Linked DNA regions of Notamacropus eugenii. The protein of the gene in region 1 interacts with the protein of each later gene in a pairwise test. Links are inferred from orthologs where the notes say so. Each region holds a gene or a part of one and is shown on either strand. Other genes may lie near its edges.

Region 1 (7,278 bases):
GGGTCTTTTAGAAACTGAGTTATCAGTGTTCAAAACTGCATGAATAAAAATTGTTTTAAACTTTAAAGCAAATGCACAGAAGAGGCAATGGTTTATAGTATAGAATGCTTAAGTAGTTTGTCCAAGAGAACTGCAGAACAGTTAGATTAGAGGTCATAAACTTCTTTCCCCACACTACTCCATCAATCTTTCTAGGAACGAAGAACTAGATTAGTCTTTGATGCTACAAAACTTGGTATTGCTACTGAGACCTCCAAAAGCTATGAGTAAATTGATTCTTTTTTTTTTTTTGATGAAAAATCTTTACTTTGGATGCCTGATTAATATGCAGAGAACCAAACAGTAAGGGTTCCCAGTATTTTACTCTTTAAACTTAAACTTAAAATACTGCCCCCCCAAAAGGGAAAGTTATACTATACCTCCAAATAAAACTAATTCCTTAATGTTAAAAAAAAAAAATTTAAGCTATATGGTCTCTCCAGTACAAAGTTCCCAGAAGTAACAGACCAGAGCTTAACTATTCCATGTCTTAGTTACAATGTGGCGATTAGCCTTAGTGTGGTATAAAGTTATCACTTCAACATCAAAGTGGGGTCTGCTGGTTTTCACTAACTCCTTTTTGATTTAAGCTCTAATTCCTAATAGAAAATTTTAAAAAATATTCTATGAGATCTGTAATCTAGAACTTATTTGTAGAATGCGTTTTCCCAAACCCCTTGATAAATCAAGAAAAGTTTCCGTTAAGTTTCAGATCACTTTCCACCCCACTAGATGCTATTACCTACAACTTCTGTGCAGTATATGCAGACTTAAAAAAAAAAATGTATGAGATGTGTATCTTCTCAAGTTTTAAAGCAATAGCTTATGAAGTTCCCAATTAAGTTGATGATCATTTTCATAAAAAGTGACAAATCAGCTGAAAGAAATTCAAGGCATCTTTAAAACTTGCTTTTCTTTATTTTGTAATCCAATTAATTTTCAATACAGCAGCAGTTTAACAACATAACACTAAATTAAAGAAAATAATTTACCATTTCATACTGGATGCCAACTACCCAAAAAGATAAATTTTGAACCAACCATTAAACAAATATCTTATCTATAAATTAATTTAAAATGCTCAATCCTTTTCTCTTAGTTTTAATAGGAAATCAGACTTCCTAACCTCAGATGAGAAACTCAGGCTAAGAAGCTTTCCATGAAATCATTCCAAGCCAACAATTGTAACCTTAAACCGATGACATGCTTACAATGCACAGACTATATAAATATTTATACATGCTACCAAGAAGGGTAAATCAGTTGACATTCAGCAATTAAAGCTGCCTCTCTGAAGTTGCAATACTTAAAGGTTAAAGATTAGACATGCTCCCTCTTGTGTTAAACTAAGAATGCATGCTGTTTTCTCTGACATGCCAGTGCCACAGCCATCTGTTCCATTAAGTAAACCCTTTAAACTTTGGCTACTCATTCTCCCACCAAATCTTCCAGTTTAAAAGTAAATTAACTTTGCGCCCTGTACTGTGTATACACTGCCTTATTGGGGGACGGGATCAGCAATATCATAGTTATTATTTACCGCATAACACCCAAAATTGCATTGTTCACAATGAAATCCTTAGCGCCAAACATAAACAAAGTGCCAGGAAGATAAGGCTTGCCTTCAGTTCTCATGGATAATAATTCATATACTGAACAAATCCTGTCTCTCAAGTAACAGAAACCTGACCGTTGGGAACCAGAAAAACCTCCCTGGCCGGGTCAGACTTCCAACAATCCTTCCCGAAGGGCTCCCACGAGGCCAAGGATCCCTTTTATAGTCTCCACCAAATGAAGGGGACACGTTTTTGGAGGCGCTGGGGGCACGAAGTGGCGATCAGACAGGGTTTCTGAAGCTTCGAGTTTTGACAGACGGGGGAGGGCAGGAGTTCAGAGGGCATAAAGAGACATTTTGGCGAAGAGAATCAAGAAATGCGCTTAGTGACAACGCGGGGTGGCCGCCGCCTCCAAGACGCGAGCAGGTTGGGGGGTTAACCGCACCGTCGCCGCTCCCCGCCCCCCGTCCTTAGTGCGAAGGGGAGAAGAAGCCTCCGCAGCCGGCTCGGCCGGCGCAGCCCCAGCCCGGGTCAAGTCCCGGAGCGGGGTGGGAGGGGAAGCCACCTCTGGATTCCGGAGGGGGGTCTCCCTCCCCCCGAGGCCCGTCCCGCACCGGCTGCGCCCCCGAGGGGGAAGCGGGAGCAGCGGCTCCGGAGCTGGGCCGGGGGAAGGGAGAGCCCCAGCCCCGGCCGAGCGCTTGGGAAACCCGCCGGCCTGGTTCCCGGGACGGGGAGAGGCAGAGACGCATTCTTATTAAGAACGGGGAGGGGCTGGACGGCCGCAGAGAAGGAAGCCGCTGGGCCCCGAAGTTTTCCGAGAGTTGTCGGGCCACCCCCGGGAGTGCACGAGGACATTCCTAGACGGCCCGGCCCGCCTCCGAGCAGAGATCCCTCCGCCCCTCTCCTGCACGCGGAGGGAGCCCAAGAGCAGCTCGCTCCGCCGACCCAGAGCGCGCCCGGGGTGGGGGTGGGAGAGAAAACGGGAGCGCGCGGCGCGGGAGGGGGCTGGGGGCGGGGCCGAGCAGCGGTTGGGGCGGTTAGAACATTAGGAACGTCTCGGCAGTAGGGCCGCCCACTCCGGAGCCGGGACTGGGGGGCCTGCCCACCCCCGTACCCTCCCACCTTCCTGCGCCCAGATCCCAGGCCCGCCTCCCTTCCTGGGTCCTGGCTGCTCTGCCTTTCCCCCCACCTCGGCGGCTGCCCGCACCCGCGTGGGAGGCACAGAGGAGGGAAAGGAGCAGGGGCAAGGGAAGGGGAACTCACTGGGTTCTGAGGAGGGGGTCTCAGCAGGGTTAACCCTGTTCCCGCCACCAGCGTCGCTGCCTCCTGTGTGTTCAATTCACTCCCCTCCTCGACACCCCCACCCAGCTTCCACACCCCCTTCGCCCCTCCCCCACCCAAGCAACTTACTATCTCCCCGAACACCGCAAAACTCCTCAAACTCCCCACCCCCTCCGGACACGCCCCCTCTCCCTACCCACCCCTGTGCCCCCTTGCTCCCGCCTCCGCCATAGTCCGCTCGTTTGGTTTGCTGAGGAAGCTGTCAATCAAGGAGAGCTTTCTCTCCTTATTGGGTCGAGAGCCTGCCAGTACATTCCAGAAGTTCCTGGTTTCCCACCCCGAAAAGTGGTCCTGCATAGGGGCGTCCCTGATTGGCCCCCATGACCATCTAAGGCTCGGAGGGCGTCTTCAGTAGCCCAAGCAATTTTATACACTCGTTTGTGAAGCTAGAAGCACCTTTCGTCAGGGTCTCCATGTTTAGAATAAAATTTGTCATTGACCGCAGCCCCTAGCCATTAAATATGTGGGAAATGGAAACGTCAATCAGTCTACCTGGCTGGCCCCGCCTATCACGTCAGAGTCAGAAGGAAACTAGGTCCCTGATTGGCCCCTGGGCGACCCCGGGCCAATTGGGAATCATCACTGTAGCCCTGGCGTCTCAAAAACGAAATACGCCTTCCTCCTTTCTTTTCGGTCCAGTAAAAAACGTCTTCATAGCCTACGCTTTCCTATGATTGGAAGAGAATCATGAAAGGAGGGAGTTGATTGGACTATCCCGTCGTCCTTTCACGCATCCCTGCCCAGAGCTGTGCGTTCTTCCGCCACCACAGGCGGTTGGGCGGAAGCGATTGGCTAAAACGCCTGCTCCCTCCCGGTAATGGGTGGAGGCGAGGTGGGAGGGAAAGGAGAGCTGTCTGTTACCCGTCATGCACCGCGCCCCGGAGGTGGCTCCCTTTGGTCTGTAATGTTTTGGCCAATCCAAAATGGCGGTGCAGGAATCAGCTGCTCAGCTTTCCATGACCCTGAAGGTGCAAGAGTATCCAACCCTCAAGGTGGGTGCCGAGGGACCCGCCTAAGGGGAAAAAACGCTCCGCCGCCCCCCTGCAGGAGGAAGACTGGCTAGCCAGGGGCCACACCACGGCGCCACCCGGAGCGGGTGGGGACTCGCCTCCCCCACTGGAGCGGAGGGCGCGGGGTCTGTCCACGCCCCCGGCGGCCCGGGCTGGGGCGGGGACGGCGAGCGCGGGCTCGGGGCCGGGGACCCTCTAGCCAGGGGGGGGGCCGGGAGGATGGCGCCCTGGCTGGGGCGGAGGGTGGGGGGTTGGGGTGGGGTGATGTGGTGGGGGTGACCGCCCAGTCATTGCGGGGAGAGGGGGAGGGGGACCACTGGGGGCTTCCCCGCCCCGTCTGGGAAGGGTTAATGGGGTGAGGGGCACCAGGGGAGGAAATGAATCTGGACGGCCCCCCACCTGCCTCCGGGATGCCCTGTCTTTTTACTTAAAATAATGACCCAGAGGCCCTTGTAGGGGGGAGTACGGGGCTGAGGAGCGAGCGTCCGCGGATCCCGAGCCTTCCTGGGGCTAACACCGCCCAGAGACGTGTAGGATCGCGCATCTCGGGGGTCATCCAGCCCAGCCCCCTCCCTTTTGCAGACAAGGAAACTGAGGTCCGGGGAGGGGAGGGGAGTTACCCACTGAGCAGCATTTGAACCCAAGGCGTAGTGGCTCTTACTTCGATCTTGGAAGGAGCCTTAGAGGTCATCCAGTCCGACTCTTTCATTTTACAGATGGGGAAAGGAGATGGCTATCACACAGGTATTAAATTACTAGGCTGGGATTTGAATCCAGGTCCTTTGACCCCCAATTTAGCTTGCTTTCTTCCACTCACTGTACTTGGCTGCCTCACCCAGTCCTGAGGGAGAATAAATCGTCGGGTTTAGACCTAGAAGGGGCCTTAGAGGTCGTCCAACTCCCTCATTTTACGAAGGAGAAAACTGAGGTTTGGAGAAAGGAAGAGACCCAAGGTTATACTGTAATTAGACCAAGGAATTTTCACCAAATGTTCTGATTTCAAATGTAGGACATTTTAGGTTACACCACAACTGGCTAAGAATGATTTGTGGGAGGTGGGGAAGGAAGTCACTTGGAAAGTAAAGGGAAGATTGTTCTGTTGAGGTTGTGTTTAGAGCCCCAGCTGTTTCCAAGTAAGTATCACATGACAAGGTGATGAGTTCTAGCTGAATTCTTGGGGTAAACTAATGGAAAAAGAATCCTAAAACGGGGGAGGGAGGGACGTCTTTTACAGATTTCATGACTATCCTGTATGCTCCTTGTCACTCATAAGATCATTTATTCTCCTCCAGTTGAAGCATTGTTTAAATCATTCATTCCTTTAAGAAACATTTATTGAATATTATCTGTATAGGACACTATGCTCTGTCCTGGAGGAGATAAAAATTGTAGATAAGACAGTCCCTATTCTCATGTTACAGTTTCTTAGGATTTGATAAGGCACACGCACAGATAATCATATTTCAGTGACATCTAATTTCATCTCCTTTGATAGCAACCCTTCTGTGATTTAGTAGAAAGTCTTCAAGACTTTTAGTGACCAGAAATCTATCACCACGCAGACATTCTGGTGATGAGCTTCTCTATATTATGCTGCCCATCACTAGACCCATAAAGTCTGTCTTATAGATACCTATAAGGTATATAAATATATCTATATTTAGATAGTTCTGTGATTACTTAAGATTTTTTGTTCATGGCATTTAATTTCCCACTTTAGTGCCTTTGTACTGGTAGTCCCCCTATATCTGGAATGCACACTTCTTCGTACCTTTCTTTTAGAATACCCAGTTTCTTCTAAGTGATGACACTTGCTCAGTTGTTAGTGCCTTTTATGTCTTGAAATTATTTTTGCATTACTTTGTATGTACCCTGTATTTGAAAACTTGTACATATTGTATCTACTTTTTTCCAATGGCTTGTCAACTGCTTAAGGGCAGGGACTATTTTTCTTTCCGTTTTTGTATATGCAACACCTAATGAGGTGCCTTATACTAGTGAATCTTTAATAAACATTTGTTGGATGAAAGGGATTTAAAGTTGAAAAGAACTTTAAAGACCATCTTGTGTACCTCCTCATTTTACAGATGGGGAAACTTAAGTTTAGAGGGAAATGATCCTCCCAGGGTAACACAGAGAATGGTTCTCCTTTGAATTCAAGATCAGTTGAACACAAATTAAAGTTGTATGACACTCTCCATTCAATGAATAGCTCTGTGACCTTGTATAAATCACCTACAGTACATACCATTATCATTAACTTCTCTTAATAAGAGGAAACAAATTTATTTCTTAATATATTTGCACCACACATATATAACATACCTTTGATCATTAATAAGTAGAGTGCAGTATCCAAGACCTTTTGGATCCAACTCTTAAAATTTCAAGGTCATGATAACTATTAGAAATATATTTAAATGGCTTTTTGTTTTGAAGATCAGCATAGTGAAGAAAAAAGAACACATCTGGAGTCATCGGATCTAGGTCTAAATTCCCACCCTTCTACTTCCCACCTGTGTGACTTTGAGCAAGCTCTTTCACTGGAGCCTCAATTTCCTCATCTGTAAAATGAAAGGTTTGAACTAGCTGTGCTCTAAAGTCTCTTGCAGCTCTGAATTAACCAATCAGCAGAAGTAATGGATTCAGTTCCTGGCAGGCCACAACTTTGTTGCTTTCCAGAAGAGCAGGCTGCACTCCTTAATCCTGGTGAGCCATTAAGCTAGTTATAAGCACCACCGAATGAGAGTGTTTATGAATTACAGTGACTCTGTCTACCCTTTTGGAAATCATTTAGAGGATTATCTGCATAATGTCAGTATTGGAAAGATAGCACACTCATGGGATTCTAATAAATAACACACATTTGAGTATCTGTGAAGAAGATAGATAAGAAATAGAACCACATCTGTGTTCCACAAACTGTAGGTGAAATGATGCAAATGTGGAAGATTAGTGTCTCTTTTAGGCCAAATTATCATAGGTGATTATCATAGAAAAAGAAAAGAGTGTGCTATGGCTTTACATAGTGACAGATTTGAAATAAGCCAGGAAGAAATATGAAAGGGAGGAAGAACGCTAAATTCTTGATTCTCGATGACTGTTTTTATTTACTGACAATAAAAGGGGTTGAAATCATAGCTTTTCTCAGTTTTTGGCTTAGGAGCACTATCTACACTCGAGTCACTGAATAAAGAAATTGCCATGAAGAAAAAACTTCCCTCTTTTTGTGGCATAATTTAATGGAAAGTAAACAGAAAGGAAATTAGTTTCCCCAAAAGGAGGCACATTGATAGGTATTTGTTACTTAATAATTCAAAACGTGTCATTTG
Region 2 (7,192 bases), on another chromosome or scaffold:
ACAAGCAGTGCCAATCAATCAATCAATAAACATTTATTAAGCACCTATGTGCCAGGTACTGTGTTAAGATCTAGTAATATAAAAAAGGGGTAAAAATCAATCTCTACTATCAAGAAATTTACAAACTAATGGAAAAGCAAAGCATGGTCATCCTGGGCCATCTTTGAAGCAATGATCCCAGATGGCACTCATCAAGGGGAGAAGCAGGTCATGGGGCCTGCATGGTGGACAGATATTCTTGGCATAAGGTCCCAAAGTGGGCAATATTATCCTCTAGAGGGCACTGGAACGATGGGGGGGGGGGGTGTTTACAGGGGGTGGTAGTATCTTCCGGTGCAATTGGGGAGCATTGAAAAAAATAAGGGTTAATCTAACCTAATGGGGGGGGATGAGTAATTTTTTTTTTAAGTGAGTCATAGGCCAAATAGGTTTGGGAATCTCTGTGAGAAGACCCCAGGAAACCAGAGAACTTCCAAAGTGAGAAGACAAATGAGGCATAGAAGCAAAGTATATAATTAATTAAATAAATTCCTTTAATTAGCAAGTAGCACTTCATATTTCTGCACAACCACACTAGTTGTAAAAGACTTTTCTAAACTATTATATTCATAATTAGAGGTTAAACCACTGGTGAGCAATTTGGAACTATGCTACCAAAACTTCTCAACTTATTGACTCAATGATAACAAAATTTGGCCTATACCCCAAAGATCAAAAAGGACCTAAAAAAAACCCATAGTAGCTCTTTTTCTGGTGGCAAGGAACTTGATACTGAAGGAGTGGCCATTAACTGGGAATGGCAAAACAAATTATGGGTTGAATGTAGCAGAGTACTATTAAGAGTAAGAAATGCTAAAAAAGATGATTTCACAGAAATCTGGGAAGACTAGTATGAACTACTATTATTTAGTGAAGTGAACAGAACCAGAAGAACAAATTATGTAATGATAAAAAACATTGCAAAGATAAACTATTTTGAAAAGCTTAAGGACTCTGATCATGGAAGCAATTAGACATTTAAATACTTACTATGTGCTAGGAACTATACTAAGAGATTTACAGATATTATTTCATTTAATCCTTACAACAAGGGAGGTAGGTGTGGTTATCACCATTTTGAAGCTGGGGACACTGGGGCTGACGGAGGTTAAAAGATTTTCCTGAGATCATACAACTAATAAATATGGAAGTCTAGATTGGAACTGAGGTGTCTCCTGACTCCAATCCACGATTCCACCTAGCTGCCTCAATATTTGATTATCACAGTGATAACCATGATCACAATTCCAAAGTATTGTGACATCTGCTGTCATATGGGAAGTTTCAGGGGCAAGTCAGATGGAAAGGTCCCATGGTCCTTAGGGTGTAACAGCAAAGCAAATTATAATGCCTCTTCTTTCATGGAATTTCCATTGATAAAATCTTATCTGTTTCTGATGTTGAACCATTTGATATTGCCAAGGACTTTGGTAGCAAGGACTTTTCTTTCTGGGTCTTTAGTATTTGTGTCTAGGCTACATAGAGGTTGTTTCCCAGGCTATGGGCAATGACTTGGAAACACTGCTAGTTGCAAAGCTCTTGGACTCAGGATTCTGGGCTGTCTATGTCAAGGTCTGAAGGGAGACATAGATTAAGGTGGCAGTGGTAGTTTGACTTGTTTGGCGTATTCTACCTCCTGTCTCTCCCTTGGGGTGCTAGGTTGGCTCACTTTATCTATGGGGAGAGAAGGAGTCACAGGAGCTTTGAGGAGGGCTGAAAAGGTTTGGAAAAGCTGCTGTGGGATAGTGAATAAATTAAAAAGATATAAAATCATAAAATGTCAAAATGTCAAAAAACGAGATTTGTTTGTTGCAGTGAGGGCCCGGTTGGATTTTGATGGTCTTAAGTCTCAACCTCCTAGGAAAGTATAACAGCAGTTATAGATCCCAAATATTACTTTAAATCTTTCTGTCAATGTAAGCTTGTGAGTCTTGTGTATGTTAAGCATTTCTTTCATACAGAGGAAAAAAATACCTATTTATCCCTGATTTATACTGTACATTGGGTACCTTTCTATTTACTCTACACTTTGGAAGACATGAGCCAAACCTAAGATATATATAATTTTCCCTGGAGTGCCAATGTGGGGACCTAAGGAGTGAAAGAATGAGAAAAGAAAAGTTCAGCCTTTCTTTTAGTTGGTTAGGCTTGCTCAGGATTGAAAATGGGCTGCATAAGCCTGGGTCTAGAACTTAGAGGAGAGGAAGGTGAAGTGCTCCAGTTCGTCTTGGGACTTGAAGCACCGCAAATTGTTAGACATGATTTTCCTAAAAACAGCTTGCAGATTTACAACTTTTATAACAAGCATTAAACTGCTTTCTTGTGCCTTTACGTCCAATGCAAGGATTATATCTTATTTCTTTTGGGTGCTTTGGCACATATATGATTTCTGACAAATACTTGATTAGTCATTCAGTTAAACATTTCTTAAACATTAAGTCAAGCCCCTGGGCTAGGCAATGTGGAAAGAAGGACAAAAATAAGAGTCTCTGCCCTCCAGGAGCTTATATTCTTTACCATACATAGATAAGTAAATGCAATTACATTGAGGAGAGAGTACTGACAACTGGGGACATAAGGGAAGGTTTCACAGAGGAGATGGCAACTGAGCTGAGCCTAAAGTAGGTAGGAATTTGAGAGGGCACCCATGTAGAAGGGATACCTTCATAGATATAATGGGAGGCACTCATGGAGATAGTACATTTCAGTGTTTGGGGACCACTTGTTCATATGGAGCCCTAGGCCAGAGATAGAATGTTTAGTTCAGAGAACACTTAGCAGTCCTGTCTGTCAATCACAAAAAAATGTGTGAAGGAAGAATATAGTGAAACAAAGTTAGGAAGGTTGGTATCAAACTACATCCAAAGAGCTATAGAACTGTGCATACCCTTTGACCCAGAAATATCACTACTAAGTTTGTATCCCAAAGAGCTCAAAGAAAAAAGAAAAAGGACATATCTATATCTATGTATCTATATCTACATGTATATCTATATCCACATACACACAGATATTTATGGCAGCTATTTTAGTGGTGGTGAAGAAATTGGAAATTGATGGTTGCCCATCAATTGGGGAATGAATGCGTAAGTTGAGGTATATGATTGTGATGGAATCCTATTGTGGTAGAAGAAATGAAGAGGAGAAAGCCTTCAGAAAAACCTGGGAAGATTTACATGAACTGGTACAAAGTGAAGCTAGCAGAACTGGAAGAAAATTATACACACAATACTATAACAGCAATACTATATGCTGTTTGACTATGAATGACTTGGCCATTCCAATGAACTCAAAGATCCAAAACAATTCTGAAGGACTTATGATGAAAAATGATATTGACCTCCAGAGGGAGAACTGATGAAATTTGAATACAGATGGAAGCATAATTTTTTAAAACATTTTATGGGTTTTTTTGCTTTTTTTGAAAAGTAGCTTAAAAGGAAATATGTTTCACATTATTTAATATGTGTAATTGCTATCACATAATCTGGCTTCTCAGTGGTTGGGAAAGGGGCAGGAGAGACCTTATTCAGAATTTAAAATTTTAAAAATGTTAAAACTAAATATTAATTTTTAAAAATAGACTATTTTTTAAAGATTGGGGCTCAGATTAAGAGGGGCCTTAAATGAAAAGTTGAGGAGTCTCTATTAAACATTAGGGGGGATAAGAGAATATTGCAGATTTGGGAGTCAGGGAAGAGACAGGCTCAGAACTGTGCCTTGAGATGATTGTGGCAGCTCTGTGAAAGATAATAGTGATAATCAAGGAAACCTTTCCTGATTCCCTTTTATTTGTAGTGCCGTCCCTCTGAGATTCTCTCCAATTTATCCCGTATATAGATTTCTGGCAACCACATAGACTTGGAGGCATCTTCACAATAGAGTGACAGTTCCAAAATCAATATCACCCAGCAATAAACATTTATTAAGTGCTTCCTATGGGTAAGGCACTGCTCTAAGAGTTGGTGATACAAAAAACAAGAAAAAGGAACGAGAGAGTTCCCTTCTTCGGTCCTTCGTAGACAGGGGGCTGGCCGCTGCTGGAGAGCTCCCACAAGAGCTCTCCACTTCGGGAAGCCTCTAGTTCTGGAACGTTCCCAAGAAGCCTTTCTGCTCTGGGGAAAGGGCGCCTGCCCTCACCCAATATGGCGGCTGAGGGAAACAAGGTCGGTCACGTGTCCTCCCCGTTCCAAGGGCTATAGTCTTTTTCGAATTTCCGTTACAGCCGGAAGCTAGGGGGCGGGCACTTTCCTCTGGAGCTCCTCGTGTTTGCGGCCGCCGAAGGGGGCTCCTTTTTCTAAGTCGGGGCACTTCGTAGCCGGCATCATGGTAAGCTTGGGATCTCTGGAAAAACTAGGCCTGGGCTGGGACACAGGCCTGGACGAGTCGGGGACGGGGCCGGGGATCGCGGGGATGGTGAGGACGCTGCCGAAGGCGGGGCCGAGCGACCGGAGGGGTCAGAGGTCAGGGTCCTGCCGGCGGCGGGGGGTGGGTTGGCCGGTTTTCCGTGGTTGAAGTGGCCGAGGTGAAGTCAGACCACACAGATTTATGAAGTCCTTATTCTGTGCTCCGTCTGGCGCTAAACGCTGGAGGTACAAAGAAAGGCAGAAGACGGACCCTGCTCCGCAGGAGCTCACCGTGTGATGGGGGAGACCATAAGCGAGCCGCCGTGTGCGTGCGAGCTCTGTGCAGGCTAAGTGGGAGGTGATCACCGGGGAAGGACTAGCGCTGAGGTCCTTGCAGAAGGGACTTGAAGAAAGCCAGGAAAACTAAAAAAAGATCAGGAGGGAATGAAGGAAGGGCCAGCGAAAATGCCCAGAACAGGGAAATGGGGCGTCTTGTTGAGAAATGGCCAGGGGCGGGGGGGGGGGGCTTAAGGTGAAGAATTTTAAAAGTCTGAGGGCTTTTTATTTGATCCTGGAGGTAACAAGGAACCCCTGGAGTTTACTGGGGGAGGGGCATGCGGGGAGTGGTCAGACCCGCCCTTTAGGAGGCTGACCCGCCAGAAGGCAGCTGGGGGTCAGAGGAGAGAAGGTGGTATAAACCAGAGATGTGGGATACTACTAAGGGGGTCTGAGGTTTGGGGGAGGGTGTGGGGAGGATGACAAGATCATAGAACTGGGTCAGAGATGATGGATCCATTCCTAGGGATTAAGAGCCCAGAGTGTGTTTGTGTGGTGTCAGAATCATATAATTGGGGGAGGTGTAGGCTAGGATGTTTGGGAAAAGATAAAGGGTCAAGACCTCACAGTGGAGAGGAAGCACTGCGGATCTTGGTTCAGAAGAGAAGAGAGAGAGCTGATGGAAAAGGAACAGGGGTAGAAAGAGCGCCTGGCAGTGTTTAGTCAGTCCAGGGTCTGGAGTCAATACTTTTCTCTCTCTGTTTCCACAGACGGTGGGCAAGAGCAGCAAGATGCTGCAGCACATCGACTACAGGATGAGGTGCATCCTGCAGGATGGCCGCATTTTCATCGGCACCTTCAAGGCCTTTGACAAGCACATGAACCTGATCCTGTGTGACTGTGACGAGTTCAGGAAGATCAAGTGAGGAGGGGGATGGTTTGGGAAGCTTGGGATGTGAAGAGGGGAGGGCAGGTAAAGTAGGCTTCTTATACTTACATTCATAAAACTCTTCTCTGTTCTAGTCCTGAACACCATCCCTCTCCCACCCACTGCACTCCAACCTTAGTGGATTTTGAGGAAACATTTATGCCCAGACATATTGTACACTTAGATGTGTACCAGCACACATCACCTGGAAATGATAAAAGGAAGCACAATACAGTGGGAAGAGCTTTGGTCTTGGGATAGATGATAGCTAAATAAAGTATTTATTAAGTTCTTAATATACCAGGTACTGTGCAAGGGAGTCAGGAAATCTAGGTGCTAGATTTCTGCAGGCATATAGCTCTGAGCACCTAGCTCTGTATAAACTGCAACTTTTTGTAGGCATTTATTTCTAGGCCAAGTTTCCCTGTCTATAAAATGAGGACAATAGAGTAAATCAGGCCTTCACAACCTTCAGCCCTTGGGACAGAGCCCATGGGCAACTTGAGGCATGCCAAAGGATTTCCTCTACATACAACAGTTGTTTTTCTCTACGTTTTTCACCGGCTGCTGGAAATCCTTTGTCAGACCAAAGGTTATGCAGGCCTGGACTAGATGATCTTTAAAGTCCTTTCTGACATTAACATTCACAATCCTTCCCCTCATAGAATTTGATCTAGTAATTCTAATGTTCCATCCATGTTCTTTTTTCATTGTTCTAACTCAGGCCCTCTTTGGTTCTGTGGTTCCTAGGAAGTGTGTGTTTTGGAGAGAATACTTAGTTATCTAGAAAGGGGCCCTTCTACTTATTATTTGTTAAACCCGTAGTTTCTGAGTTCCAGATCTTTATTCCCAGCAAACAATGACATTGAATGAAATATGTTCATGTCTTTCTTTTAATATATATTGTTTGATTTTTTTCATTAAGTTCATTTCCAAATATGGTCATTCACCCTTCCGTTCCTCCAGGAACCTTCGTTTGTTACAAAGTATAAAAAGAAACGGGAAAAAAATGTCAGTTCAGCAAAATTACCCAAAGCATAATGAGTTGTTCTTATTTAGTGAGTGAAATGCTTTGAGGTAAATTTACTTCAACTTAGCAAACATTTATGAAGCCTCAGTACTATAAGATCAACAAAAATAGCATCTTATATAATATATATATTTTTCTGTGAGCTTCTCGGTCAGAGGGCTGTGATTCTATGAGGTCATCTTGGGGTGAAGGCTTCTTACACTATAAGGCTTTTAAAGGGGGAGTTGATTTTCACATTTAATAAACGTTAACTGTGTTCTCTGTGTAAGTCACTGTGCTTTGAATTCCAACAAATATAATGATGAATAAAGACTTGGATCCTGTCCCCAGGGAGCTTATAGCCCAATAGGCGGAATGTCAGTTATTCAAACATCTATAATACAATATTTAGAATGTAATTTATGCTAAAAGAGGTATGGAGTACAATTTGAGTGTTTATTAAGATCCTTGTTATCTGAAGTTCTGCTCTGACTCTATATAACGCTGGATTTTAAATTATATCTACTGGTGACTGGCTATGTGACCTTAGACTAGGTCCTTTCAGGACCTAATTTTCCTCTTCTATAAAATGAG

The links. The genes of interacting proteins can lie anywhere in the genome.
Region 2: the proteins of CTBP1 (region 1) and small nuclear ribonucleoprotein-associated protein N interact in a two-hybrid assay, tested with the Homo sapiens proteins (2 studies listed by BioGRID and IntAct). The link is inferred for Notamacropus eugenii from reciprocal best matches to the Homo sapiens genes CTBP1 and SNRPN.

Annotation. Positions count from the first base shown.
Region 1 is NC_092877.1:48,808,545-48,815,822, forward strand, and holds the start of CTBP1 (C-terminal-binding protein 1), read right to left. Parts: upstream 3,049-7,278; 5' UTR 3,006-3,048; exon of another isoform or gene 2,859-3,005; intron 1-2,858. Other genes in the region: E3 ubiquitin-protein transferase MAEA, read left to right, coding at 3,860-3,928. UniProt on the Homo sapiens protein: Corepressor targeting diverse transcription regulators such as GLIS2 or BCL6. Has dehydrogenase activity. Involved in controlling the equilibrium between tubular and stacked structures in the Golgi complex.
Region 2 is NC_092872.1:476,050,638-476,057,829, forward strand, and holds the start of small nuclear ribonucleoprotein-associated protein N, read left to right. Parts: upstream 1-4,151; 5' UTR 4,152-4,365; coding exon 4,366-4,368; intron 4,369-5,431; coding exon 5,432-5,583; intron 5,584-7,192.